Linked DNA regions of Oryzias latipes. The protein of the gene in region 5 purifies or fractionates together with the protein of the main gene of each other region. This does not show direct contact. Links are inferred from orthologs where the notes say so. Each region holds a gene or a part of one and is shown on either strand. Other genes may lie near its edges.

Region 1 (4,067 bases), about 11 Mb from region 5:
CAAAAGTAAAGTAGCTGACACAAAGTATGCAAACTTCTTAATTGTTGTGTGTTTGGAGCAAGTTCTTTAGGTTTTACAGAAGTTTATGGTAAAACAAAACTCCTCATACCTCCAGCAATCAAAAACAATTTTAAATGTACCTCAGGAATCGACTTAATTAGTTTATTTGTACCTTTTAGTTGGCCACTATTGCAAAAACTAATTTCTTTAGCTGTTGTAGCATACTTGAATAGATCGTACACTTAAAATGTTCCAATTTAGTCTGAATAAGTATGCAGTTAGTATACTCTACGCTACACTACATGATGGTAGCAAGTATAGTAGCCTATACTTATGCTCAAGCACACAATGAAATAAACTTCAACTGAGCTACTTTATGTTAAGAGGTTTCCAATAACTTTTTTTGTTTTGTTTATAACAAGTAGAAAATTTGGTTGGAACTAGATTAAAAGATGACTTTTTTCACTACCAACAGGTTTGGATTCTGTCTGACGTGGACGTAAAAGTTTAACCCCTGCTTATAATTTACTTAAGATCCTATTGACAGTTGTGTAATGTTGCAGTCATGTATTGCACACGTGATTGAGCTGGGCTATGCGTTACATAGGTCGCTCGGGACATACTACCAGTAGTAGAGGAGACCCCTCCCTCTTTAGTAAATCCATGCCAGACAAGATTCGCCATGTGCGTTTGCGCCACATGGCTGGGGGTTGTGCACAGATGCCTAAACATATGAAAGTAAAAAGCAGAAAAATCAGATTTCACATTAAAGTATACGATCTTAAATGTTCAATTTATGTAAACACGAGAAAAAAATGGCCCCCTGTTGGACTTTGAGCCGTGGATCAGACTCAGAGAAGCATGGCTCTACGCCTGCTAGAGAAGATGGACGCCGTCATCAGGTTGTCATTTCCACTTGAGTGCGAGGGTCCGAAGAGTGCGCGCGGGGTTCTGCCAACGCTCCACACATACCTGCAATTAAATACATCCGATATGCAATTTAACAATACAGTGTAACATTATTTATGAATGGCCACACCCCCTTCTCCCTCAACTGTGTCATCAGTTTAGGGCACGGCGCACCCGCGCGGACGAGCACCAGCAATTTTCTGTCTCCCTGCTATGGAGTGCGCGTGAACGCGCAGTCGATTTAATGTTCCCCTGTTGACCAATGACAATCAAAGTTTTGCAGAGAAAGGCAACGATTGTGAATCCAGTTAAGATGCACTACTTTCTCATGGAATCCCTTTACGCACAAGATTTTCCCAACACCAATCCACTCTTCCCCTCCTTTTTTCTTCACTCCCCATTGCTGTCCCCACCCCAGATTCCCGTGCAATTTCCCCCAAATACTTAATTGAGCAATTGGGAATCCTCACGTGTGGGCTGATTTGTAGTTTGAACACGTGGCTCATTCAAAAAAGCCGGAATAGCAGAGTTTTTTTTTTTCCTCCTCCTTTCTTCTTATTCTGGGCTGTAGACTTAGAGGCGGGCGCCAGCCTCACCGTGTGTGACATTCTCTGTCTCTTTGCCAAGGGGTTTGGAAGAAGACACAAAGTAGTTTCTCCTCCTTTTCTCCCGGCCCGCCAACGTTTGGAGATTAATAATTGAGCGTTTATTTATTGCGCGACAGAGAGCGAACGCACACCTAGGCTGCCAGTTTAAATTCTGAGGCTTGAACGACCGGGAAGCACGCCACAGCCGCTCAGTCCGTAGTAGTAACGGCGACGCGGGCTACTCCACGCACACCGCACTTGCACATCCACGGGAGTAGGTAACTGACTCTCCCTCCGCGTAAAGATTGTCCCCTCTCGGCGTGGAACATGAATAAGCTTTACATTGGCAACGTGAGCGCAGAGGCGAGCGAGGAGGACTTCGAAAGTATCTTTGAGCAGTGGAAGATTCCGCACAGTGGTCCGTTTCTGGTCAAAAGTGGCTATGCGTTTGTGGATTGCCCGGACGAGAAGGCAGCGATGAAGGCCATCGATGTTCTTTCAGGTGAGACATTTTCAACAAATTCACAAAGAGCCTCCATTTAGGATCGTCTTACTTCGTTCATTGCCCCCAGAAATGCATGCATGCATGCACGAAGGGCGGGGGTGCCTTTTTTCTTCTATCACACAACCTTTACGTGGCCTTTAGACTCCAGGGGTTTAAACATATGGGTTTAGGTGGAAAGTCTTTTGGCTTTCCTTGATTTTAAAAAGCAGAAGTAAACAAAACGACATGAATACAATGGCTTCGTGTGGCGTTCAGGGCAGCTGGGGCGCAGACGCCTTGAGAAGTGGACCTTGTTGGAGGTTCACTGACAGCGGTGTGTTTCTACCTTTCCACCCACGAAGTTTCAGTTTCCCCGGGTTTCAAAACACGGGCCCTCCGTCTGCGTGGTGAAGCCATGTTGCTGACACACCAGGTGGTTTAATTGTGTTGGTCAAATGTAGGCCAACTGAATGAAGCCAACAAACACGTTTGGTTCTTCTTTCACTTGTTTTCTCGTAAAATATGCCTTTAACGCACAGGTTCAGGTGACCTCAAATAGATTGTAGATGGGAATTGCTGTCGTCTTTATGCGTTTAGCTTAATGGAGAAAATACGCTCATGTTTTTTTTTGAGAGAGAAACTTCCCATAAAGAGTGAATTTTCTACCGGAAGGTCAGGATGTTTCTGAAGTTGCTTTTTTGTGTTTTAGGTAAAGTTGAACTCCACGGGAAACTTCTGGAAGTGGAGCATTCTGTCCCTAAGCGTCAAAGGTAGGTTTAAATCATATTTTGCCTTTTTTTTTTTAAATAAAAAAAATCCAAAATGGCAGTTTCAGTTTTTATTTGGTTCCCAGCATAGTAAATTCAGTGCATTGTTCAATTTTTTATTTTGCGTAAAATAGTATTTCCTCTCCCTGAAAGCTCAGGGGTCAAACACAAGGGGCGTGTGGAGGATTACTGTACTCCCTTCTCTCCGCTTTGCTCCTAAACCGTTGTGCTTTTGGCTTTCACATGCTCTCTTTTGGCTCTCCTGTTTACACATCCACCCTTGTTTTCGCATGTAGTGCCCAATATATGAGCTCCAAGCTCATGGCGGCTTGTAACCCTCTCAGAGCGCACGGCGAAAGGAGCAAACGTGAACGCAGGCTGGATTTGTGGCGTGCAGGCCTTGTGGAGTCGTCCATTTGAGAAGGATCTGCCCGTCATTCTCCCTGTCTGCCCTGCGCTTTCGCCCTCTTCAGCATGTTGTGCTGCTGTTTGCATGAGATGGACTCCTCAAATCGCGGGTGGAATGGGAGGCTTAGGGCCCAACTCGCGAAATGTCTGTGTGAGAGGTGGAGCGTTTTCAGGCTTTCAAAAAACAAACAAACAAAAAATCTTTAGTGCTCCACCAAATCTGGACGTGTGGTGCGTATTCCTGGTGTTGGCGTAATTCTGCTTGCATTGATGTCGAATTGGGGTTAAAACTATTAGATCCAAATTTAACATATTTTATTTGTACTAAGTTGAATCACGAAGCATGTTTGCGTGTTTACACCTAAAATATATCCCTTTTTTTAAACTAAAAAAATATCAATGAGTCTGTTTTTATAGAATTTCCCTTTAAAGGTTAAATAAAGACAAACTATTGGTTAAATTGTATACCAAGAGGTTTTTATGGAATAGCTTTTAAAAAGATCACAAAGACAAAACCACACACATTGTTTGACACAGCTTTTAATAAGAAAATAGAGAGGGGAAGGATTTGATTCTTGAATTTAATGTTTTGTATATTCAGGTTGTTTTATAGTGGGGGGGGGGTTTCAGCCACACTGGGGCTGGAGTAAATTGAGCTCCCCCTCTCTCTGTAGAACATGGAACATAATCATACTCAATGAAAAAAGAGGGAACCCACACCCTTGTAAGCTTGGGGGGCACTCTTTTTGCATTACAGCCTGTATATTTCAACAGGAGGGTTGGCCAATCAGCATTGCTTAACCTTTGAACTCCACAGGAAGAGGAAGTGCTGCAGCAGTCAGGAATCAAAATAGGGTGGGGACATTTAGAAAAAAAAAAAAAAGAAAATAAAAAAAACTTGGAGGAATGAGC
Region 2 (3,500 bases), on a different chromosome or scaffold from region 5:
TACTCGTACAGCACCACCCCCAGATGGCCCATCAGCTTCTCCTGCAGAGGGACAGCAGAGCGGGTGAGGCCTCAGGCCTGAGCTGCAGGTTTACGGGGGCGGGGTCACCTACCTCCTGACAGGTCTTCATGACCACCGCTGTGCGTGAGATCAGGTCCGCCGCCTGCTGACGCACTTTGGCGGACTTGTTGTTGAGGCGCCACAGCACTGTACCGCAGATCTGAGGCAGGTACGGTTTCACGCGTTTGCCCAGCGCGTTCACCACCGTGCCAAAACCGTTCAGCATCACAGAGTCCTGCACACGGACAGAAGGTTAACCAAAGCCCCCCATAAAGCAGGAATCCATGCCTGCCCGCCCCCTACCTCTGTGGTCTGCTCCTGGAAGGCGTACAGGATGCCATCGATCAGCTGCTCCTCCAGCTTGTGGTCGATGTCAGCTGCCCCCAGGTTCCCCATGATCTTCTCGATGGTCTCCATCACCATCTTCCTGTACTGCTCCGCCTCGTCCTTCAGATCATCCACGATGCGCGAGATGATCTCTGCCGCCCCCACTTTGTTGGCCAGCTCCACGGTGGTGTCCACCAGCTGGAACCAGAGACAACAGAACAGTTAGTGCCCCCTACTGGCTGCAGCTGGAACTGTTACTAGTTTTGAACAAAAATACAGGAATCAGTTTCTTCAGAAACATGTTGCCGTGTCATGAGGACCCTTCATGCTGAGCGTCTCCATGCATCATGACCTTTGTCTGCATGGCACCCAGCTGCTCGCCGTCTGCTCACCTGTCTGTAGTTGCGTCTGTCCAGAGCCATCCTGTGCTGCCAGAAGTGCTTGAAGAACGGCGGCAAAATCTCGGTCTTGATGTAATTTGCTTCCACGCCGTCCGTGCCACAGCACTGCTTCACCACCTAAGAGGCGGGAAACAAGAGCCTGCTCAGGTTCTGTTCGCCATCAGAGCGTGATGAAAGCACCCAGCGCTGCACCCCCACCTACCTTCAGTACGATCTTCTTCATTTCCTCATCGGGGGACTGGAACTCCCTGATGAGGATCAGCATCACCTCTCTGGTGTAGTAGTTGGCATACTCCGCATCCATCAGCGGGATCAGATACCCGATGGCTTTGAGGAACGCGGCCAGACCCTGTGGAGCGAGGAGAGTTAGAACGCGTCTGGAGGCGGTGCTTCTGTCCTCTGCTTCCAGCAGACACTGGCCCTGCAGTGGACCTCAGCTGGCAGCAGAAGCTCCTTCAGAGTCACTATAGCAAGCAAACATTCACACTGCGGCCACGCTCAGGCCCAGTGCTGGGTGTGATCTTGCCGACAGGATGTTCCCTCTCCACGCAGAAGCGCTCACCTTTCCTCTGTGCTGCCTGATGCCCTTCCACAGCGGCTTCAGCACCGAGTCGAAGGACTCAATCCCATAGGGGGTGGCGGCTTCAGCGAGGGCAGCAATAGCCAGGGCACTGATGGTCCTCACCTTCTGCTGCTCGTCCACCAGACCTGCAGCAGAAACGGGTCACAGGCGGGTGAGTGGAGGCTCCACGCTGCCTTCCTATCAGACACGCTCTGCATCTGCCAGAACAGGGGAGGCCCCTCTGAAGGTCTGCGCGGTATCAGAACACTCCTCTTCTGAAGGGGGAATCCCACTTCTCTTCCACTTCTTCAGACCAAACTGTTCTGTTTGCTGAAGTGGGACTGACTGTAACTTTTGCCCAGCCTTCTAAAAGTGGAACCGTAGAGATGTTCACCAAAGGGAACCAGCAGTCTGTGTTCTGAACACAGCAGCAGCTGCAGCGTCACCAAAATGTAGCCGTGGAACAGCAGGGAGGGTGGACTTTCATCATTTACCAGCACAGCTGAGGAAAGTTTCACCATTTCACAGCAAAACCTGGAAGCATGTGAAGTGGACTCCACCCAGATGCTGAGACCGACGCTAGAAAGGTTTTTAGCAGAAATGCTTCCACCCTGAAAACGTGCAGCTTTGGTTAAAGCTCCTGTTGAAACAGATGAACAATTTTTCCACCAAAAGCTTCTGTTCCAGAGAGAAAAAGAGGCACCGTGTCCCTGCAAAGGGGGCGGGGCTTGAGTTGGATTTAAGGCAGCTACATTGGGGTGTTGACAGCTGCCGTGCAGGACTGACCGTGCTCGATGATCTCCACCAGGCTGCGCAGGTGAGGCAGGATGGCGCAGCCCATGAGAATGGCGATCTGCTGCACGATCTTGATGCCGGTGTGCCGGGCCTGCCAGGACTTCTTGCTTTTGCAGACAGCTTTGAGGAAGGGCAGGAGGGAGGGGATCCCCAGTGCTGAGGCCACCACGGCGAAGGCTCGGGCCGTGGTGTTTCTCACGTACTCGTCCATGTTGTCGATGTCAGGTCTCATGGTGGAGATCATTGTGGCCAAACCTGCAGCCTAAAGGCATCAGAGAAGTTGAAGCTCATGCATGTAAACACAGAGGTGGGTGTGACCAGCGGGTGCAGGGTGAGAACAGGCGGGGCATCCACGCCCTGCCTGCACGCTCTCATGCTGGTGTCACTCTGGCGAACGCCTAGCCCTGTCCTGACCACGGACCGGTCAAACAGGCGAGAAAAGTTCGCCATCAGAGCACTGACAGGAAGGGCCTTACCTTTGCCAGGTTGGAGATGATCTCTCGCCCTTCCACTCTGGCGTAGTAATCTTCATCGATGAGCAGGGGCTCGATCACCACCAGGATCTGAGTGGACAGAAGACTTTCAGTTCACTGCTGAAGACGCGGCAGACAAACCTTCAACCGGACCCACCTTATGAACGTACGGCCGCACCAGGTCGTCCAGCTTGTACAGGATGCGATCGATGACTTTGACCAGCAGGTGGCGCTCCTGGTCCTCCAGTGTGGGGGACATGAGCAGCGGCAGAATCTGGTTAAAGAGTGGCCCTGCTCCAAATTCCCGAGCTTTGTCTGTGATCTGACGCAGAGCCGCCTGAAAGAGCCAACGAGAAGCTGGAGGTTCAACCTCTATCAAGACAGCAGATGAGGATCAGAGGTTCCTCTGCGGTGCCAGAGAAACCCAGCAGAGGAAATAGTTAGAGGACAAACGTCCATCATTCTACCAAAACTGCATGTGATCATTTTACACAAAACCAGCTCGTCAGAGGAAAGCAGCCCAGGATCGGACCTGCCAGCCTTTTTACCCTGAAAACTCCTCAGCTGAACTGAAGTGACAGTCAGGATGGAGGCTGCAGGTCTGCAGCAGAAGGTTCCTCTCGTCACCGCCCCCCCCAAACACAAACACCAACCTTTCTCATGGGCGGAGTTCCGTTTTTGATCTTCAGCAGCAGCTTCATGATCTTCCTTTCCTTCTGCTCTTCGGGGCTCAGCGTCGACTCGTCCACCTCCACCTAACATCGACACAGACCGTTACCTCCACAGAAAAGACCCCCACCCACCGCAGCCCCCCCGTCCTGCCAGACTCACCAGGAGTTTGTCAAAGTATTGGATGTCATCGGGTTTGAGGAAGGGCAGGTT
Region 3 (3,348 bases), on a different chromosome or scaffold from region 5:
GAAGCAGGAATGAGGGCATAAATCAGATCTACAGGGAGGAGGCATGCAAAGCGCTGCTTCCCAACACAAGTCCGGCGCCAAACCTGGAGATAAACATGCAGGTTTAGTTTCCACGCTGTGAACAGCAAAGTTCCTTCTGGGACCAGGAAAAGCTTCAGTCTGAGGCTACAATCCAATTGTGCTTTTGTGCCCCCCCCCCCCCCCCCCCCCAGGCCGTTCTGACGTCGCTGCGTTGACAGTGAATTTGGGACACCAATTAGTGAGATGTTTTGGGACATGAGGTACGCCACTACACAGACAGAGCTCTGAGATGCCGACTACAGAAGGTGACTTGGAACTGGATGGCATGCAAGGTGACACTGTAGCATATGGCCAACAATGGCAAACCTTCAGTCCACCTTCTTCCACATGGAGCCTTAAATTTGAAGAAAATTTGAAAAGAGAATTTGCCGAAACATGAATTTGCGACACAATTTGAAGTTTTTGTACACGTGTGCGTGTATGTTTATTAAAGCAGACAAACAGCAAAGAATACAAGCCAAAATGTAAAGCCCAAAAATGAGGACTACGGTTGTCCTTTTTTTTTTTTCTTTTCAATAACAAGACACGCATTACTTTTACAATACAAATTGTAATTTCACTCTTATTAAATACATTTTTAGGAGACAGAAGCTTGGTAGCTTTTTTATTTTAACTAGTTAAAACATTAAAATCAGAATTTCTATAAAACATACATTAAGCTACAGCCAAATAGACAGCTTCAGCACATTTCGCATCTAAAAATGTTGGAAAAGTTGGATTTGAAGAATCTTTTACGACCACCTTAAAAAAACAAAAACAACAAAGGAAAAAAATGCAGTTTGCCAGAAGCAGGTGAGAGTGACTAGATCGAGTCCAAGCGGATCGATAAAATATATACATAAAGATATCCTGCCAGGTGTCACTAACTTTTGAGTGGAAAAAACAAAAAAATAAAGCTGGCAACAAAATGGAATAGAGGGCCAATTAGATCAAGTCTCTAAATGAGAAAAAACAAGGCAGAAAGGATAAATTCTTTCCTTTTATGAAAGCCTTACTGGTTTACTTCCACTGTTGCCCAAAAGAATCCTGATAAAACTCCTGGTTGTCAGATTTGTAACCAAAATAGTTACCAGCATGATCACCACCTTGGAGGGGTTGCTGAGCAATGGGTTGAGAGCCCCAGTTCTGATTATTGGTCTGGCGACGCTTGGAATCTGGCTGGTTGTACCCATCAGCTTTGCGCTTTCCTCCTACATTTCCACCGCGGCCACCCCGAACACCACGTACCCCTCCTCGCCCTCTCGGCTGCACGCCTCCTCTCGCTCCCCGCCCTCCGCGGCTCGGTCCAGGCCCTCCATGCGGGGGGAAGCTGGGCCTGCCCCTCGGCGCGCCGGCGCTGCCGCGTCCTCGAGCCGGTGAAGTTCCGCCACGGGCGCCCCTGCTGCTGCCGCGCCCTCGGCTCGGGGACTGGAAGTCTTCGTAGCCGTAATAGGGGTCTTCGTAGCCGCCGCGGTAGTTGTGATAGTCATAGCCGTAGTAGTCATAGTAGTCATCATAGCTGTAGTAGTCGGAGGGGTAGCCGTATCCACCCCGGTTGCCTCCTCGGCCCCGGCCTCTTGCAGGGGGCGCGTGGGGAGCAGGAGGGTAATAGTAGTAATCATCATATCTGACAGAAAGGAAAAAAAATCAGAAGCATAAAGTCAGTATTTGTGGAGGAGGAAGGCTTTCCTGCTGATTTAACAGCTCATACATTTGTGTTTTGGCTGCCTGCCTTTGAGCCTTGCGTTCTTTTCTTTTCTGATCCGGCGGTTTGGCAAAGACGATCTCGATTGGCTCTCCCTCCAGTTCTTTCCCGTTCATTTCATCCAAGGCCTAAATGAAGGTTTGGTCAGTTTTAGGTCCATTCTTTTGTGTTGTTTTTTAGAAAGAATGCTCTGGTTCTGAATGAAAGTGTGTACCTTCACTGCACCTTCCCGCTCCTCAAAGTGAATGAAGGCATAGTCCTTCAGCTTCTTCACTCGCTCCAGCTTTCCAAACGCACTGAAAGACTTCTCAAGAATCTCCTCCGTAACGCTGTTGGCGAGATTCCTCACAAATAAAACCTTCACCTGCAACACAGATAGAGAAACGCTTTTCCCATCAGACCTGTGCAGCTTCCTTCTGTCAGGACATCCTTGTACCAACGTGTGCCGCATTACCAGAACCATTAAAAACAGATTTCTGGGCTTCGTTCATATCACGTATCACTCTCCAGTCTTACTGAACTCTAGCCAATAATATTGCCTTTCCAGTGATTGTGGGCGGCTCCTATGAGAAGGCGTGAGGCTGTGGGGGTGGAGCTTTACTCTAGCGAGCGCAGCTTTGTCTGTACTTCACAGCAGAAGATCCTAATACAGTTACCCGACGGATAATGTGCACTGCTCTGAAAAAAGTCTGTTGCCGTGGCGATGAGAGGTAAAATATGTTTCCTTGTGTGTGTGAAAACAGAGGTGCACTGCAGACTGTTAAAAATAAGGACATTAAGCATTTTAAGTACTCTGTCATGCAGTAACACTTTTTGAAGAGTACCGCTTTGGCCAGATAACATTCAAACAAACCCATCCTTCCCCAAGGGGGCAAAGGAACAGGCCTGCAGGCGTTTCCATGCATTGGGTTTCTCAGTTCAGCATCAGGTTTTCAAAGGGTGATGCTCACCTTGGCCATGACCTCTGGGTCGGGATCCTCGATGGGATCAGCCCATTCCACTGTGACCAGGATGCCCCAGACCTTGACCTTCCCACTCATTAGCCTGCGCCGTGCCTGAGCGGCTGTTTTATGGTCTTCAAACTCCAGGAAACAAAAGCCTCTGTTCTTCTTTTTGTCGTCGGGCTGATGGTACAGGATCACATCGTTCAGGCCGTCTGGACACAAAGAAGATTCAGAACAAAATAAATCACAAGATTTATATTTAAGGAAAGTTCTTCAAGTACCGACAGGAACCCCGGTCGTACCTGTGACTTTTGAAAACTCTTCAACAATCTGCTCCTTTGTTTTACTTTTGGGAATAGAGCCAACGAACAGCCTGTTGTTGGCGACAGATATACACGCACCGATGTGCTTTCCGGGGCGGATCTCGTAGTTATTACACTGTAAAAAGGCATTTCAGGATGACGGTCAGGAACAGGCCGTTCGGCCCATTTTAATTTGAAAATGAAAGTTTTTGTCTGAAAATAACTCCATGAACTCACCAGTTTGACCGCCTCTTGTGCTGCTTCTTTAGCGCAGAATGTAACAAAAGCATAACCCCTGTTAAGGCTGCTTAGGGGGTCCATCATGAGCCTGAGGTCC
Region 4 (4,117 bases), about 15 Mb from region 5:
TCAACGGTGACGGGGTTGCCCCAAACCTTCACCTTCCCACTCATTAGACGCCGCCGAGCTTGTGCTGCAGACTTGTGGTCCTCGTACTCCAGAAAGCAGAAGCCACGGTTCTTCTTCTTATCGTCTGGCTGGTGGTACAAAATCACATCCTGAAGACCCTCTGCAAAGAAAAACCGCATCACTCGTCAGCGACAGACAACCGACTGAAAGGGTTTCTCCAAATACAATCATTGACTTGAAACAGACCTGTAACCTTGCCGAAGTCTTCCAGTATACTTTCCCTCGTCTTGTTTTTGGGAATTGATCCAACAAACAGCCGGTTGTTTGCAACAGATATACAAACTCCCAAATACTTGCCAGGGCGGATTTCGTGGTTATCACACTAAAAACAAAAAAACAAAAAACAGCAAATACTTGAAAAGTAATGAAACACAGTAGAAGAAAACACACATTTGCTCAAACTATTCTTCCACAAAATCACTTTCTTTTATATCCAACGGGATCCATGAGATTTTAAAATGGACTTACAAGCTTGACGGCCTTTTGGGCATCGTCCTTGTTGCAGTATGTGATGAAAGCGTATCCTCTGTTTTGACCAGAAAGGGGGTCCATCATTAACCTCAGGTCCCAGATGGGACCTGCAGACTCAAACAGGGGCACAAGCTCGTCTTCATACAAATCTCTGGGGATTTTTCCTACAAACACCTGAAAGAAAGACAAAACACAAAAACTAAATCAATCATGAAAAAAATGACAATTCTATATAAAATTAAAACAATTTCCCTTCTAATTCAACTATCCATATTTATTTTCAACTTTCTTATTTACCTGCTTTATATATATATATATATATATATATATATATATATATATATATATATATATATATATATATATATATATATATATATATATGTGTGTGTATATATATTTCGTTTTAGCATGCGTATGTGAACGATTTTAAACTGATCTTGTGGCGTTTTCCTGTTGAAATAGAGGAAGAAAATTTAGCTCAAATTTGTATTTTTTGGGTATTTCTTTATTCAAATCTATGTAAATCAGGAGCAGACAAATTTAAAAAGATTGTATTTGTCATCTCTGCTCTGCAAAGGGAAAAGGGGGGCGGGGGCGCTTCACGGCAACGGTCCACTCAGGTGAATTTCTACTGAACTCCTGTCGCTCTGCGGAAACTATAATCTAGAAAACTGCACAGGTTTTTGATTGTTTTTCAAATGATATGAAAAGACCAGTGAGAACACTTTGAAAATAGATCAAAAGATGGTCGGAGTGGATCTTTAACGAACAGGATGTGTAATCATGCTTCTTTAAATAATCCCCACCTCTGTTCCAATCCCTGGATGTGTGCCTTTGAACATCTCCTCAGGTGGGGGGCCTCCATACTTTCTTTGTCCCGTGGTGACATCTAGGGTGTATCCTGTTCGCTCCAAGAGAGCCTTGGAAAGTAAACAATCAAAAAATGGGAAAAGCTTTGTAACTGAGAGAACATTTTGGCATTTCAACTTAGCCCAAAAAAACTGCAAATCAAGAGCGTTTACCTTTATTTTTGCCTCATCTGGGCCTTTAGTGGACTCTTGTACCTTACTGCCTTGTTTTTCTCTCTGCCTATACGTCTTCATAACTCCACAAAGAAACGCACTTTTATTCTGCAATTAAACAGACCAAATGATACTTTAGAAAACTGTTTAAAAAAGTACTGATGAGCACATAATTGAGTGTAATACCTGCACATGGGACAGATCGCTCTCCTTAAACTGCTGCAGGACTGTTAGAGCTCCCTCCTCATTGAACTCCCGTAGAGCATCAATGGCCCTTTCATCCAGATCTGCATACGCTACCAGGCCTAAACATCATGACAAAGTGAGCTAAACTGAACACATCAACAACAAACACATTGGAGCTTTGAAGGTAACAACAACCAGCCACCTGTTTGGAAAATGTTGTCTAGATTTTCAGCCACTTTCTGGGGAAGCCCTGCATCAATGAGGGTCTGGTAGTTTTCAGTGTGAGTTGTAGTTGTAGTCACATCCATAGGCTCCTCTTCTTCCTTTACTGGGGCCGAACTACCATTCACCTCAGCGGAAGCCATTCTCCTGTTAGATAGACATGAATAAAAACAGTTTTAGTTTATTACTTCATTTACTGTCAACTTGACATACCAGAAACAAGCTATCAAATTACGGAATATCTGGCTTTTAACTCAAAGATTTTTTAAACGAAAACGTTACGTTAAATGTCAGTATTATTATAAAAAACAATGTTATTTATTACTGATTTTCAAAATAAAACGACCCGCTCATACATTTTAAAAGGCTTATTCCACAGTACCGCCCCCTTCACATGGCGCCTGATCGATAGCTAACATCTTTCATTTATAATACTACGTGGCCCAAAATGTTCTAAAAGCTTAAGAAAAAAACAGTCATCAATGAGATCCAAAAAGTTCCACTCGTTTAAATGAAGTATTAAAGTCCATGTGTGTTGATTTTAGCAGTACACAAGAATACGTCCTAGCTAGCTAACGGGCTAACACGAAGGCCTCGCCGTGCAGCCCAGACACCTTTACACGCGCGCGCCGTAAAAGGCACAAACGGGTAGTTAGCAAGACTTACCAGGATGATTTAGAAAACTAGCTGGAAAATGTTTGAAAAAATATGAAACACTTGTTTTTTCGGGCGTTGGGAAAATGCTAAATGCCAAGAATGTTCAGGTCTACCACACGACAAATTTTTTCCAGACGGCAGCGGTCTCGTCTCGGCTCGCCCGAACAACGCCACTGAGGGAAACATCGCGAGATGTGAGAGTCTGCGGTACAACGTTGGTTTGCAAATCTAGCTCGTGTCATTGGGTCTTCAAAATGGAAACATGACTTTCTGTAATATTTTTTATTTTTCTCAATTTTATGTTTTGTAATATCCGCTTTAAAATTGTGTAAATTTCCAGAGGCTACAAGGAAATCAAACTGTTTTTACAAGTGTAATCAATCTCCTCACCATAACTTAGAAACCAACATATTTACATTTTTTCCAGTACTAGTAATTTATTTTATGATTAAATGATGGGGTGTTTGATTGTAAATTTCGATTAAAGTTGAAATATTGCCCTTTTAAAAATGTGATTTAATCCATGTAATAATTATTCCTCGTTTCATTTGGTTTATTCATTTGTCCTGTTTGGTTTAGTGAGGTAGGAAAGTATTTACAAGGTCTGAGTGAATTTCTTAAATGGGTAAATCCCTCAGACAGAGCTAAGGCCTGAAATGACAGACCTTTGTGAAAGTTTTGGCTTCAGTTTTGCAGCAAATGCCCTTCTTGGTCTGATGGAGCGTATCCATCCCCATAAGCTTGTGGTACCTTTACAGAACAATCCAAAGACTATCCAGATCTGACTTTGCTTAGCAGCTGAGATCACATAAGACCAGGTATCTCCAGCTGTGCCATCAGAAGTGTTCACAACCTCTCCATATCATCACCATAACAGGCTTAAAATAAAAACAAAAAATGAGTCCAGGTGTAACCGGGAACCCTAAATTTTGAGATGGCATAAACAGGGGAAATGAAAATCAACATAAACCAACAGAAAATCAATCATTTTATTTTGGAACGTATATAAAAGATAATCGTTTGCTTCATTAACTGCCAAAATGAGCAGATAGTCAATTATCTTTACATTGTTTTCAACGTTGCCACCCTTTCTATCAGAGTTGTGAGCGCAAACTTCAATCGTCATGTTTCAGTTTTCTAATCTTGCCAACGTGGCGGTCGATCTCCTTTTGCAGACGCTCTATTTCCTTCTTATGGTGCTCAATCTCTTCCGAATGATGCCTCCTCAGCACCTCCAGCAGCTCCATCTCCTTCTTTCTGCAGACAAAAACCATACTTGTCAAAAAGGGAAACGCTGGCATGAAGTTTTCCTCGAAAACCTGTTTCATTTCTTACCTGAAGTACCGCTCCTCCTCCACCACCGCTCGCTTTCCAAAAGCACCTCCTGCCTGCCTCACAGAGCCTCCTCCACCTCCACCTTTCCCTGCTCCTCCGCCCAACTCACCAAGCTGGAACAAAGGGCACATCATAGGATCCCAGCATGCAGTGGCTTTTCC
Region 5 (4,194 bases):
AGCGTGTGGACAAAAGTGACGATAGGAAATAAGCGGAGGTTTACTTCCGCGCCCCACCCACAAGTTAGAGGCGAGTTTCAGATGAACTATTGCCGCTCTGCAGAAAATGTCCTAGAAAACAGCAGGTTTTTAGAATTTTGGCTAAAAATTCTATAACCATAATTAAAAGACCACTGGGAACGATTTTACAATAGATCAAAAGATGATTGATGTAGGACTTAAATTATTTTTTATGCTTTAAAAAAAGTTCCTGCAAATCTTACAATAGCTTTAATAAATTTTCAGAAGCAATTTTTAGGGTAAACTTGTAAATCACGTTGATGCTTTAACTCATTGAAGGAGATCTCTGTGATTTACCTTCAGTAGGGTCCTGGGTGCGGAGAGTTTCCACAACCTTGTTGCCAAGAGCAGCAACAGCCTCCACTAAAAAGAACAAAATTATATTTGGACATAAAGACACAATTTTTCACAACCATTAAATGTGACTAAAAAACATCATTCAAGTTTGAAAAAAAATATTTAAGGAGAAATTCAGATTCGGTGCTGATGCACTGGGATGTTTGATGCATCAACAACATATATGAACCATTCTCATACAGTCGATCAGACAAAAGAATCTGACAACATCCGGATGAGAAACTCATGACCTACATGTTGGGAGGATCTTCAGGATGACTACAAGGTCTGCAACATTGTGCCCAGTAGTCATGGTTCCCTTCTTATAGGAACCCACCTGACGGACTTCTTCAATTTGCTGTCAAGAGGCACAAAAAAAACAATTATTCATTGTTGTGGGTCATGGATTGTGACAGAAGGCTGTGATTGAATTAAAGATACTTCAATCAGTCTGGTTTTGCCTAAAATAAAAATGTACCGGCAGTATCCCTCATATTTCACCTCATTGTTAAAAATGTATCTACATGTTCATTGAAGCTGCTTTAGTCTGTGGACCAAAGGTTCTTCAAATGGGACCAAAGGTTCTTTAGTGGAGCAACTCACCACTTCAAAGTTTCCAGGAGCAACAATAAGGTTGTCAATGACGTTGTTGATCTTTGTGACCAACGACAAGATAGAGGACTATTATAAAAAAAAAAAAAAAGGGAACAAAATGTGTTAGAAGCACATATGATGATGATGATGAAAGTTCCTGGGCGAGTCCGAGTCAGACCTGCTCTGCTGGCGTGGGGCTCAGGTCCTGGTTTCTCTTCAGGAGACACTCGCTGAAGGTCGTCTCATCAGAAGCAGGCTTCACTCTGGGGAAGGCCATCTCGCACTGGTGGAAGAAAGGAGTGAAAGTCAAGACTCACACTTATTCTGCATCGATATTCCAGCTATGTTCACTTGTTCTCACCACGTAGAAGTCAAACGGGATGTGTGGGACAAACGGGCGGTACCTGCATAAAAAATGATTAAATTAAGCATACGTTCATATGTAAACATTTATATCCCAAGATTTAAAGTGCATAAAGTGGAGATTTTAACTACTCACTTTAAGCTCAAACCTTCTCACTGTTACATCAGACACATGCTATATGGCAAAAGTAGCCACTCATTTGACTTTACACGCATGATCATAAGTTATAATCCATTTGTACTCCACATCATCTTCATCCATGTCTTTATGGGCCTGCTTCTAGCAGTGGTGCACAGTCATGGTGCTACCAGGAAGCAACATTTCTAAATTTTTAAATCTCTTGGTGTCCTACAGCATTCAGACTTCCTTTCACTTGAACTGGAAGGGGTGAGAACAGCTTCTGACAACTGGAATTCACTGATCTCCTGGGATGGCAACATCCCTTAAGATGTTTGCAGAAGAACTCATTTTATGCGTCTGTGGCCATGGAAATGACTGGAATGCCACAATTTAATTATTTGAATAAGTGATTTAATACTTTAGGCAATACTTTCGTAACATGGGCAACACTGCTGTTGGTTTTTCAAAGTTACAGGTCGGGGGGGGGGGGGCATCTTTAGTCATCAATCTATTTAGAATATTAGATTTTTTTTTATCCTGAGTGTTCTTAGGTTACAACAATCCTAGCATCATGGTCCTCTACTCCAGCTAGCCCCGTTCATCTTGATTCTGATCCTCAAGAATTAGGTGTCCAGTTTCTGACAGACTAGAGACATATAAGTAATCAGCAAGCTGGCTCAGAGGGTTGTTGAAAGGAAAATGTAGGGGGCAGAAAAGCTTGCCAACACGAACCGATCAGACTTTGTTTTCTGAAAATGTTTGGGAAACAGACACTAACCCCTGGACCAGGCCTCCGCGGGCTCCGAAGCGCCCTCCCCGGCCTCTTCCGCGGTCTCCTCTGCACAGAAAGGGAACAGATGATAAAACAAAAATGATTAGGCCACATAGTGACATACACACATAATCTGATGGGAGCTAGTGGTCTGCACGAAGAATGATTATTGACATTAATTCACACAAATAAGTATATAAATAGCCTAAAAACAAAACTGTGTACGAAAACGCGTGAATTTATTCACAGAATTGGCTCCTAAACTAAAAAAAAAAAGAGTTGAAACACATGAGGGAAACGCTGCTTAACTTACAGGTTATTATGCTAACGCGGCTACAGGCTGGACACAAATCAAAATACAACAACAAGAGCAGCGTGTTCAACCACCGACGCCAATAAAATGAATAAATATATGCTTACCTCATCGTGTAAGACGTTTTGATTCCGAAAATATAAAACAAACGAGAAGAATTAAGATTTGCAGCTGCTGCAATGAAGGCGCAGAACCGGACATAGACTGGGGCAGCGCTAGTGAAACTTCCGGTGAGGAAAGGCTCACAGCACACTGCTGCCCCTACAGACCAGGAGTTAAAAGTGCAACCTCTTTTATTTATATAGCTTTTTTATTGAACATTTTCAGAATATAATATAAAAATGCAACATTTACAACAGTACAATATTTTTTAATTTGCCCTAAAATAAGCGATGTGACATTTCACTATAACAACGATTCACATATTTTGTGGTTGCTGATCCGATTCACTTTCGATATTGGTTCATTTTGAATGATCCAATTTGATCTGATTAACTGACTAACCTAAAGTTGATCCAGGACATCTTTGGGCAAACCTTCAACCAGTGTGGCTTAAGACATAAATACTGAACAGTGCAGGGGAAGTTTTCATCAAAATCACATCAAAATAATACAAACAGAACATTATTAGAACATTCTAGCACACTGTTTGGTCACATGTCTGTGTTTTGTTTCCACACATTGGATCATATTGACGGACTGATCTTTTTTTATTTTAACTTGACCAACAGCTGAGCTAGCAGATCAGAACTGAAGATCTCTTGTTGGACAGATTTTACTGTTACAATAGGGGTTTATGGATCTTCAGACAAACAACAAACAGAGTGTAGATTTGTATAAAACCCCTTTTTTGTATTTGAGGCTATAAGCATTATTTATGATAATTATTTTTGTATGCGATCTATGTTGAATCAGACGGAAGAAAACAAGAAAGAAAGAAAGAAATAGAGTGGGATGTTGGAGACAGGGGATGAGGGGTTAGATAATACAAGGTCAAAACATACGAGTGTCATAAGTAAATTGCATGACTTAGTTCACACATCAACAAATTCTCTGCACATCTATTTACAGATTGGAAGTATATTCCTACATTCATGATGGAAGATTTATCCCACAAGACTTTCGCACACAGACAGGTCCACACAATATTTGTATCACCAATATTCTTGAAGAGGGGTGTAGAAACAATGCTGGATCATTTTTTGCTGACATCATGTGTGTTGTCCGCTGTGATTGCACTTGGTCATTTTTACAATATAGTAACACAAACTAACCAATCAAAATGTGATTTTCAAATATTAATAATCAATTTCTTTCATTTTTAAATGACTTTATAGTATAGATTGATTTGATTCGATAAACAACTTGCCTCAGATAGATCAATCTGGTTGGATCGTACGAATAAAAATTAATTCATCGAGTCGTTTAATTGTTACACCCCTACTTAAAATGAAATAAAATGAACAGGTCTGCACTTGTGTCCTCCTCTGGAGTTTTGTTAGCAATAAGAAACATGAAAAGACTATTGAATGCATTTCTTGTGAGGTTTAAGTAATGTTACTAGTTCTGGAAAGAAAACAGGGAAATAATTATTTCTTCTACGTAAATGTGGTTTCTTTTTGTACGTTTAACAAA
Region 6 (3,053 bases), on a different chromosome or scaffold from region 5:
CAGGGAATGCACATGGGGGGTCAAGGAGGAACAAATGTCAACATGAGCCCCATGGCTCAGTTGCAGCAGGTCCAGCAGCAGCAGCAGCAGCAGCTTCAGCAGTTGCAGCAGCAGCAGTTGCAGCAGCAGCAGAGGCCAATGCTCAGTGGGTTACAGCAGCAGCAGGTTGCAGCTCTCCAGCAGCAGCAACAACAGCAGCAGCAGCAGCAAGGCGTGGGTCGAGGAATGCCGGGTCAGGGGCCCCAGATGGGAAACCTGAACGGAGCCCAGTTTAGAGAGTTGCTGATGAGAAAGCAGCTACAGCAGCAGCAACAACAACAACAACAGCTGCAGCAACAACAGCTGCAGCAGCAACAACAGCAGCAACAGCTGCAGCAGCAGCAGCAACAACAACAGCAGCAGCAGCACCAACAACAGCAGCAGCACATGGGAGTAAACCACAGTCAGTTCCAACAGCCACAGCCCCCCCAGGGGCAGGGCTTCATAGGGCAGCAGGGCATGCAGCCTCCAGCAGTGGGGCAGGGGCCTCCTGGGGGGCCACCCCTTCAGCAGCCCGGTGGACAGCCGGGTCAGCAGGCACCAAGTTACCCCGGATCAGTCGCTCAGCAGCAGGCCACGGTTGCACTGCAGCAGAGACTGCAGCACCAGCACCACCTCCAGATGCAGCAGCAACAGAACGCCATGGGGGGTGATGTAGGGCCAGGTGGAGGGAGTATCAGTGGTCCGCAGCAAGCACCCCAAGTCCCTCAACCCACCCAAATTGGACCCCCACCTTCAACCGCTCAAGCCCGGCTTCAACAGACTCTGCACCAAAGGATGTTCCATCAGCAGCAGCAGCAGCAGCAGCATCTCGGCCCGGGAGGGTCACCGGCCCAGCACACCAACCCCATGAGCCCCCAGCAGCCTCAACAGGTGAACCAGTCCCCCCACCCGCACCTGCAGGGACAGGGCATGTCCACATCTCTGGCCAACCAGGTCCGGTCCCCACAGCCCTCACCCAGACCTCAGTCCCAGCCGCCTCACTCCAGCCCGTCCCCACGCATGCAGCCACACCCCTCCCCGCTTCACATCTCCCCCCAGATGCAGACGGGCTCTCCTCATCCCAACCACCTGAACCAGCACCATCCAGGAATGATGGCACCTCAACAACCACAACCGCCAGCAGCCCAGCAGAACGCCATGGAGCCGTTCGGCTCGGATGAGATGCTGTCCCAGCTGAGCAGCATGGCTGGTCTGCACGGGCCAGGCGGCAGCGGTCAGGACCCAATGGGCCCCAACATCGGCCACAGCTCCTTAGACCACATGTAGGGTGGTCGTCAGCGTGTGGAGCGGAGCGGAGCGGCAGTGGAAATCCGCACAAACTGCACTCACCCAGGACAGTGTTATTGTTATTACTAAGCTTTTTTTAAACTATTATTAAATGTTATTTAAAATGTTTTCAATAAAGATGCATTGAACTGAACTTCCTATGGGAGATGAACATGAAATCAAGCAGTCGTTAAATGAATGAAAATGAATTGTAACTTATTGCTGTTAAATGTTTTCTTTGCCAATTAGGGATGGGGGGGGGGGGGTCTTTCACATATCATCCCACAAGTCACCCCGTGTACTGCAGAGGAAAGTTGATTCTATTTTTTTGAGGGGGGGTATGTGAAAAAAGTACTTGCCTTTTGAAAAACTGTTCTGTTTTTATAGGTTTTTAAAGTCCAAAATTATGATTTAATGCAAATATCTTTATATCAGTTGAGCTCCTTTTTTTATTTTATTCTTTGGGGCCTTTTTTTGTTTTTGTTTACGCTTCACCTCAAATCCAAACATGATGCTTTTTTTTTTCTTTCCTTTTTCTAATGTTTGGGTTTTATTTATTCTTTTCCTTCTGGGGGTGGGCGTCTAGGAGACTGCTACAGTTCCTACAGAAATATATTTTTGGTATTGACTGTTAAGATGGGGGGGGGGTTAGTATATGTTATTTCACTTTAGATGTCTTGAGTTGGGAGTGATGTCAGTGTTTGATTGCAGTGCGCTCTGCGCCGGAAGGGCGGCGGCGGACACATCTTTGGAAGCCCTCTCCAACATGCAAGCCCCCTCCCTCGAATGTGTGTGCACTCCTTCCTGTTAAAGACACTTCAAATGGAGCTGTAGAGCTTTGGGGAGGGGGGGTGCATACCTTTGTGCCTGTAACATTTTAAATACCTGGGGTGGGGCGGGCTTGTTCTAGTGTTTTTAGGATTCTGCTGTTTTCTGTAAACAGAGGATGATGATGATGATGATCCAAATGAACTGTGTTGCACAGAAACGAGGAGAAAGAAGGAGACCCCCCCCCACACACACAAATACACCCGACTCGGTCTCTTTCTCCCTCGTCCCCTTTGCTGCTTCCCTCAACTTTATATCCTCCTCTGGGGGGGACGTGGAGCTCCTTCTTTACAAACTCCATCCTCTTTATCTTTCTGCTCAGAACTTTGGGAGTTTAATTTAATATTTTTTACTGTACAAAGGAAACAAACTGGACTCGAATACTGTTTTTATAATAAAACAAAAATTACCAATTTGGTTGTGTCTTCTAAGGATATTTCTTCAAAAGATGCACTTCCTGCTTCTACCTTAGATTTAGAATGAAGTTTTTTGTTTACAAACAAAACAAAGGTAACAGCCTGCCATGCAGTAATGCAATGAGTTTCCAAACTCTTAGAAAACCAAAGTATGCGTTTGGTTTCTGTTCAGCAAAATGCAAAAAAACAAACAAACCTGACTTTCAGCACTGAAAATGCTGAAAGTTGCTTTTTTTCTCCAAAACATTTTTCTTTTATTCTGAATAATTACAAAGGAAAGAAGGAAGCTGGACACAAATATTAAAATGTCAAAATTGGAATAATGGATTTAAGGTGTTCAAACACCCCAAAGCCCGCTATCAGACCGCTCTGCTTTCCGTAAATCTTCAGCTTTAAATCGCTTGGAGTAATACTCCCTCTAGCGGCCGTAGATGTTATTGCGACCTGATATGTGTTCAACGGAGTTCGAGAAGGGTCAAAAAAGATTTCGTTTATTCTGAC
Region 7 (4,293 bases), on a different chromosome or scaffold from region 5:
TTATTTTAGATTATTTTGAAAGCAGGTTATGTTGTTTAGAAGGGAAAATATGGGCAAAGATTAAACTGATAAATCCCTAAAAACGTCAAGTGGACAATTTGGAGAAGCAGGAAGTGACTTTCCTGGATTAACACAACCAGAAATAAGTGATCACAATTTAAAAATAAATAAAACAGCCAACATTTTTGATGCTGTGCCCATCGATCTTCAGCGTCCAGGTAGTGCAATGAAAACAACACACGTGACCAAAAAAAGTAAGTTCATGTTCACACTCACACTGGAACTCCCTTGCAAGCCATGCATGAGGTCACAGAACGCGGGGTATAAAAACTCTTCCAAACGCACACAACATGACATTTTACACAAACATGATACAGAAACAGCAACAAGAGTGTGATAGAGAGAAAACAACAACAAAAAGGCAGAACACTCCGAAAAAACATGGACGATCACTACCGAAGCTCCTCCGTGGACGCTCCAATAATCTTGATTTTTTTCTTTAAATCTCCTAAATCCTTGTGTGCTACTTTCTTTCAGACCCCTCGGCTACTTTCCTCAACCCACCCCTCCTTTTGAAAAAGTGTACACCTGCTATTTCCCTCTGTGGGTTTTGCTTAGAGTAGCCTCCATTCACCTTAAGGACACAACGGGCTTTTCCAAAAGAAACAAAACAATAAGTGGCATGAGGAACAGATGTGAAAAGTCACAGATGCACTTCTGCTACAGAATGCAGTCCATTAAAGACGCTATGTGAGTGGGCATTGTAGAGTAAATGGTAAGGCTCTTTAGGTAGTCAGGGATGACCCTGAAAACACATGTGTGAAAGTTATTAAATAAGAGAATACTTTTTATTTTAAACAAAAAAACAGAGGGTTTTCCTCTTGCTAGAAATGTGTGCATTGGCACTTAAAGCCAATACAATCCAACAAAGCTATGGATGGCGCTTCAGGGATGCTGAAGGCCATTTTGCTCTGTCCCATCCTTACCAGCTGTATTTGTTCTCTTCAATAAATTCAAAGTAGCCCCTTCCATGTTCCTCCCGGCGTCTCTTAACACCCTTCTTATTCTTCTGATCAGCATTCGTGTCTTTGTCCGCATCCCCTTTGAAAATAGAACAAAGATATAGAATGAGGTGCTCCTTTTTGAGACAGAGAGAGAGGTCGGACTAGCAGTGGGGTTCTGGCCCACAAAGCCCGTTCATTAGTTACATTGTGTCCATCATAATTCATATGAATGTTCAAAGAGGCAGCACTATACTTACACTGAAAATACAGTACAATCAAATGGTTATGACAGCTTTTAAGACCAGGTAGTTAAACAATAAACTGGCCAAAAATTATAAAATAAATGAGTGATGCTTTGTGGGGGCGAAATAAAAGTCTGAAAAATACACCATTGTCAATGGGGTTTGATTAACTTATAAGGGAAAGTTTACTGTTTAAGGGGGATAAATAAATCATGCAAGTAAGGCTATTTAGATATGGTTTTAAACTACCTCCCCATTTGTTACACTGTATGATTTTGGAACCTTTATTAAACAGAAAAACCACGACAAAAAAAACTAGCTAAACAAAAGCAGCAGAACCAGCTGAGCTACCACTATTTAAATTTGGGGTTAGCCATCGCAGATATTCTCCTGTTTATTTTATTTGTGCAGACTGGGAAATGAAATGTTTCAAAAGTAATTCCAGTGAGATTGTACAAATGACAGTAAGATACAAGATTTGTGGCTTGCAAATTCCCCCTTTATGTCTTAACAGGAAGGGAAAATCTGAAATGGCTAACCCTGCTAAATTAGCTTGTTAGCACTACACCAGAAACAAAGGAAATCGCGCTAGCTGACAAGCTAACACACCTTACAAAATCGAAAGAAAAAGCTTAAAGGTCAACCAAAAAGGACGGTTCTCGGCATATAAATTTAATTAAAACTATTACTAAACTTTAAATTGTGTTTTTGAAACGACTCTTTAAAACGTGCCTGAGAGAATATGGTAACGCGTAATTAGAGTTACAAAACGATTAACTAAGAGGAGGTGACCGATGCTAGCTGCTAATGCTAACTAGCTTGAATCACGCCGCCGTGTTCAACATGGACGCTCCTTGGTAACGCGCTAAAATCTTCGCAACCAGCCCCCGAAAAAAAAAAACAGCCAGCCACAGTCCATTCAGCCAGCCACCTTTTCAGCATCACTTCACCAGACTCACCCTCAGCAGCTTGCTCCCCGGGCTCACCATCCTCCGTGTCAATTTTTTCCATGTCGTCCACATCTCCCTTCAGCATCTCGTCGTCTTCGTCGCCTTCTTCCCCCTCACCCATGTCTTCGTCATCCGCTACGCCATTGCCCTCGTCCCCATTATCATTATCCTGTTCTTCCTCATTAGCCTCCATGCTCTCTTCTATCGGGCCGTCGCCTTCCTCTTCCTCTCCCATCACCTCCTGTTCGGCGGCCTGTTCGAGGGTTTCCTCCTCCGATCCCTCCTGGGCCGCAGAAGAATCCCCGACCAGGGCCTCCTCGTCGAGCGCGGCCTGCAGGCGGTCCATCAGCTCGGCCTTCAGCCCCTTGTCCGACAGATTACGCTTCTTCAGCTCGTCTTTCAGCTCGTTCACTTTCAGCTTTTTCACGTTAATTGTGCTCATTTTGAATGCAAGAGTACAAACAGTTTTTAAAAAATCGACGATAAATAAATAACTGAACGCCTATAGACAGGAAACTGCGCCAAAATAGCACCCGCTGTCCGAGAAGTCTTCGCCGGCGGAGAGCTGCGCTGAAACGGCGGTTGAGTGGGGAGGGGAGGAGGACGGCCTCTCTCCTACCGTAATCACTGAATAAATGGCGCAGCGGGTTTTTTCCCTCTTCTGGTAAACCTGCCATCTGCTACTGTCACACAAGAAAACATCTATACTTATCTTACAAACACATTATACATTATTGCAGAGAAATATTGTCCACTTATTTGCTAAAAAAGAGAAAAAAAGTTTCCTTTTTTAAATGACAGCTTAATTTGGGCCTCAGCAACAAAACGGGACAAACTACAGTTAATGTTGAAATTTAATACCAGTTTCAATGGAAATTTCCTTTGCAGCTTTGGTCTTTTATTATGAACTCTCTTTGGAATGTTGGTACTTAGTCACCTCATGACTACACTTCCACCACTGTGCATGGCAGCAGAATTATTGAATTTTATCTCCCAACTTTTCTTATCAAAGACCCACTCCATTGAAAAGCATGCTTTTCTTTTATGTGTTTTTAAAATTTTCTTTAAGCATTTTCCAATGATGATGGGCTGCACTGTGGTGTAGTGTTTAGCGCTCTTGCCTCACAGCAAGAAGGCCCCTGGTTCAAGTCCGGCTGGGGGACCTGAAACAGAACATCAATGGGGGACCTTTCTGTGTGGAGTTTGCATGTTCTCCCCGTGCATGTGTGGGTTTTCTCCGGTGACTCCAGCTTCCACCCACCATCCAAAAACATGCTTCATAGGTCACTCTAAATTGTCCATAGGTGTGAATGTGGGTGTGTGAAATGTGTGACCCAGCGACAGACTGGCGACCTGTCCAGGGAGTCCCCTGCCTTCGCCCATAAGTGGCCGGGATAGGCTACAGCAGCCCCGTGACTCCAAAAGGGATAAACAGAGGAAGATGAATGAATTTTCTAATGATGGAGGACATATATAAAGAAAATTCAGTTCTGAGTATTTCTTTATTCAAAGTTGTGAATCAGGAATAGAAAAGAAATCCAGTCTAAAAAAGCTTGTAGCTCTGATGCTACAGTTGTCTGGCCACAAGCTTCCTGCTCTGCTCCATTCTGACGCATGAACCTGTAGACGGCTAGATCTGTGTACGTCTTTCTTTTCCTCGTCTGAGCTGGCATCTGGCTTAAAACTGTACTGCTGGATAGCTCCAATATTGCCTGCCATTGTTGTTGCAACCTGACGTTAGGTTGGGTTGCGAGGGGCTGTAAGCTAGTGGGAGAGCATGTAACAAATGGATGACTGGAAATGAGGGAAGACTTCATCAGTTCTGTCCACAACTCAGAGGTGAATTTCTGAAAAACTACTGGTGGTCTGCAGAAACTATGTTCTAGAAAAACAACACAGGTTTTTTGATTTAGGCTAAAAACAGCATAATCATAATTAAAAGATCACTGGGAACACTTTTACTATAGATTAAATGATTATCAAAATGACACTTTCTAATTCCAAATTTGTGTTCTTTAAAATGTAAATATTTTTAGCTGTTGTTTTACTGTTCAAATTTGACTGTTTTTGGTACATAAGCACTAATTTCACTTTGCA

The links.
Region 1: the proteins of ilf2 (region 5) and igf2bp3 purify together in Homo sapiens (affinity purification with mass spectrometry; 3 studies listed by BioGRID and IntAct, counting the BioPlex papers as one, with this or other methods). This does not show direct contact. The link is inferred for Oryzias latipes from reciprocal best matches to the Homo sapiens genes ILF2 and IGF2BP3.
Region 2: the proteins of ilf2 (region 5) and sf3b1 fractionate together in Homo sapiens (co-fractionation; 3 studies listed by BioGRID and IntAct, with this or other methods). This does not show direct contact. The link is inferred for Oryzias latipes from reciprocal best matches to the Homo sapiens genes ILF2 and SF3B1.
Region 3: the proteins of ilf2 (region 5) and heterogeneous nuclear ribonucleoprotein Q fractionate together in Homo sapiens (co-fractionation; 3 studies listed by BioGRID and IntAct, with this or other methods). This does not show direct contact. The link is inferred for Oryzias latipes from reciprocal best matches to the Homo sapiens genes ILF2 and SYNCRIP.
Region 4: the proteins of ilf2 (region 5) and hnrnpr purify together in Homo sapiens (affinity purification with mass spectrometry; 3 studies listed by BioGRID and IntAct, counting the BioPlex papers as one, with this or other methods). This does not show direct contact. The link is inferred for Oryzias latipes from reciprocal best matches to the Homo sapiens genes ILF2 and HNRNPR.
Region 6: the proteins of ilf2 (region 5) and histone acetyltransferase p300 purify together in Homo sapiens (affinity purification with mass spectrometry; 4 studies listed by BioGRID and IntAct, with this or other methods). This does not show direct contact. The link is inferred for Oryzias latipes from reciprocal best matches to the Homo sapiens genes ILF2 and EP300.
Region 7: the proteins of ilf2 (region 5) and hnrnpu fractionate together in Homo sapiens (co-fractionation; 3 studies listed by BioGRID and IntAct, with this or other methods). This does not show direct contact. The link is inferred for Oryzias latipes from reciprocal best matches to the Homo sapiens genes ILF2 and HNRNPU.

The regions. Positions count from the first base shown.
Region 1 is NC_019869.2:10,791,309-10,795,375, forward strand, and holds the start of igf2bp3 (insulin-like growth factor 2 mRNA-binding protein 3), read left to right. Parts: upstream 1-1,267; 5' UTR 1,268-1,823; coding exon 1,824-1,998; intron 1,999-2,689; coding exon 2,690-2,750; intron 2,751-4,067. UniProt on the Homo sapiens protein: RNA-binding factor that may recruit target transcripts to cytoplasmic protein-RNA complexes (mRNPs). This transcript 'caging' into mRNPs allows mRNA transport and transient storage.
Region 2 is NC_019879.2:174,679-178,178, forward strand, and holds part of sf3b1 (splicing factor 3B subunit 1), read right to left. Parts: coding exon 3,450-3,500; intron 3,374-3,449; coding exon 3,272-3,373; intron 2,956-3,271; coding exon 2,776-2,955; intron 2,709-2,775; coding exon 2,622-2,708; intron 2,408-2,621; coding exon 2,137-2,407; intron 1,497-2,136; coding exon 1,351-1,496; intron 1,138-1,350; coding exon 991-1,137; intron 906-990; coding exon 780-905; intron 586-779; coding exon 364-585; intron 296-363; coding exon 113-295; intron 42-112; coding exon 1-41. UniProt on the Homo sapiens protein: Component of the 17S U2 SnRNP complex of the spliceosome, a large ribonucleoprotein complex that removes introns from transcribed pre-mRNAs.
Region 3 is NC_019882.2:1,562,544-1,565,891, forward strand, and holds part of heterogeneous nuclear ribonucleoprotein Q, read right to left. Parts: coding exon 3,249-3,348; intron 3,148-3,248; coding exon 3,012-3,147; intron 2,922-3,011; coding exon 2,716-2,921; intron 2,130-2,715; coding exon 1,980-2,129; intron 1,894-1,979; coding exon 1,772-1,893; intron 1,688-1,771; coding exon 1,081-1,687; 3' UTR 1-1,080. UniProt on the Homo sapiens protein: Heterogenous nuclear ribonucleoprotein (hnRNP) implicated in mRNA processing mechanisms. Component of the CRD-mediated complex that promotes MYC mRNA stability.
Region 4 is NC_019869.2:6,652,118-6,656,234, reverse strand, and holds the start of hnrnpr (heterogeneous nuclear ribonucleoprotein R), read right to left. Parts: upstream 2,801-4,117; 5' UTR 2,631-2,800; intron 2,112-2,630; 5' UTR 2,108-2,111; coding exon 1,945-2,107; intron 1,862-1,944; coding exon 1,743-1,861; intron 1,665-1,742; coding exon 1,557-1,664; intron 1,455-1,556; coding exon 1,341-1,454; intron 706-1,340; coding exon 529-705; intron 383-528; coding exon 247-382; intron 161-246; coding exon 1-160. Other genes in the region: ATPase inhibitor A, mitochondrial, read right to left, coding at 3,737-3,878, 3,957-4,069. UniProt on the Homo sapiens protein: Component of ribonucleosomes, which are complexes of at least 20 other different heterogeneous nuclear ribonucleoproteins (hnRNP). hnRNP play an important role in processing of precursor mRNA in the nucleus.
Region 5 is NC_019869.2:21,697,490-21,701,683, forward strand, and holds the start of ilf2 (interleukin enhancer-binding factor 2), read right to left. Parts: upstream 2,801-4,194; 5' UTR 2,672-2,800; coding exon 2,667-2,671; intron 2,313-2,666; coding exon 2,253-2,312; intron 1,395-2,252; coding exon 1,352-1,394; intron 1,274-1,351; coding exon 1,169-1,273; intron 1,078-1,168; coding exon 1,000-1,077; intron 755-999; coding exon 652-754; intron 424-651; coding exon 358-423; intron 1-357. UniProt on the Homo sapiens protein: Chromatin-interacting protein that forms a stable heterodimer with interleukin enhancer-binding factor 3/ILF3 and plays a role in several biological processes including transcription, innate immunity or cell growth.
Region 6 is NC_019866.2:19,344,869-19,347,921, reverse strand, and holds the end of histone acetyltransferase p300, read left to right. Parts: coding exon 1-1,308; 3' UTR 1,309-2,553; downstream 2,554-3,053. UniProt on the Homo sapiens protein: Functions as a histone acetyltransferase and regulates transcription via chromatin remodeling. Acetylates all four core histones in nucleosomes. Histone acetylation gives an epigenetic tag for transcriptional activation.
Region 7 is NC_019882.2:13,245,079-13,249,371, forward strand, and holds the start of hnrnpu (heterogeneous nuclear ribonucleoprotein U), read right to left. Parts: upstream 2,801-4,293; 5' UTR 2,639-2,800; coding exon 2,206-2,638; intron 1,102-2,205; coding exon 987-1,101; intron 1-986. UniProt on the Homo sapiens protein: DNA- and RNA-binding protein involved in several cellular processes such as nuclear chromatin organization, telomere-length regulation, transcription, mRNA alternative splicing and stability, Xist-mediated transcriptional silencing and mitotic cell progression.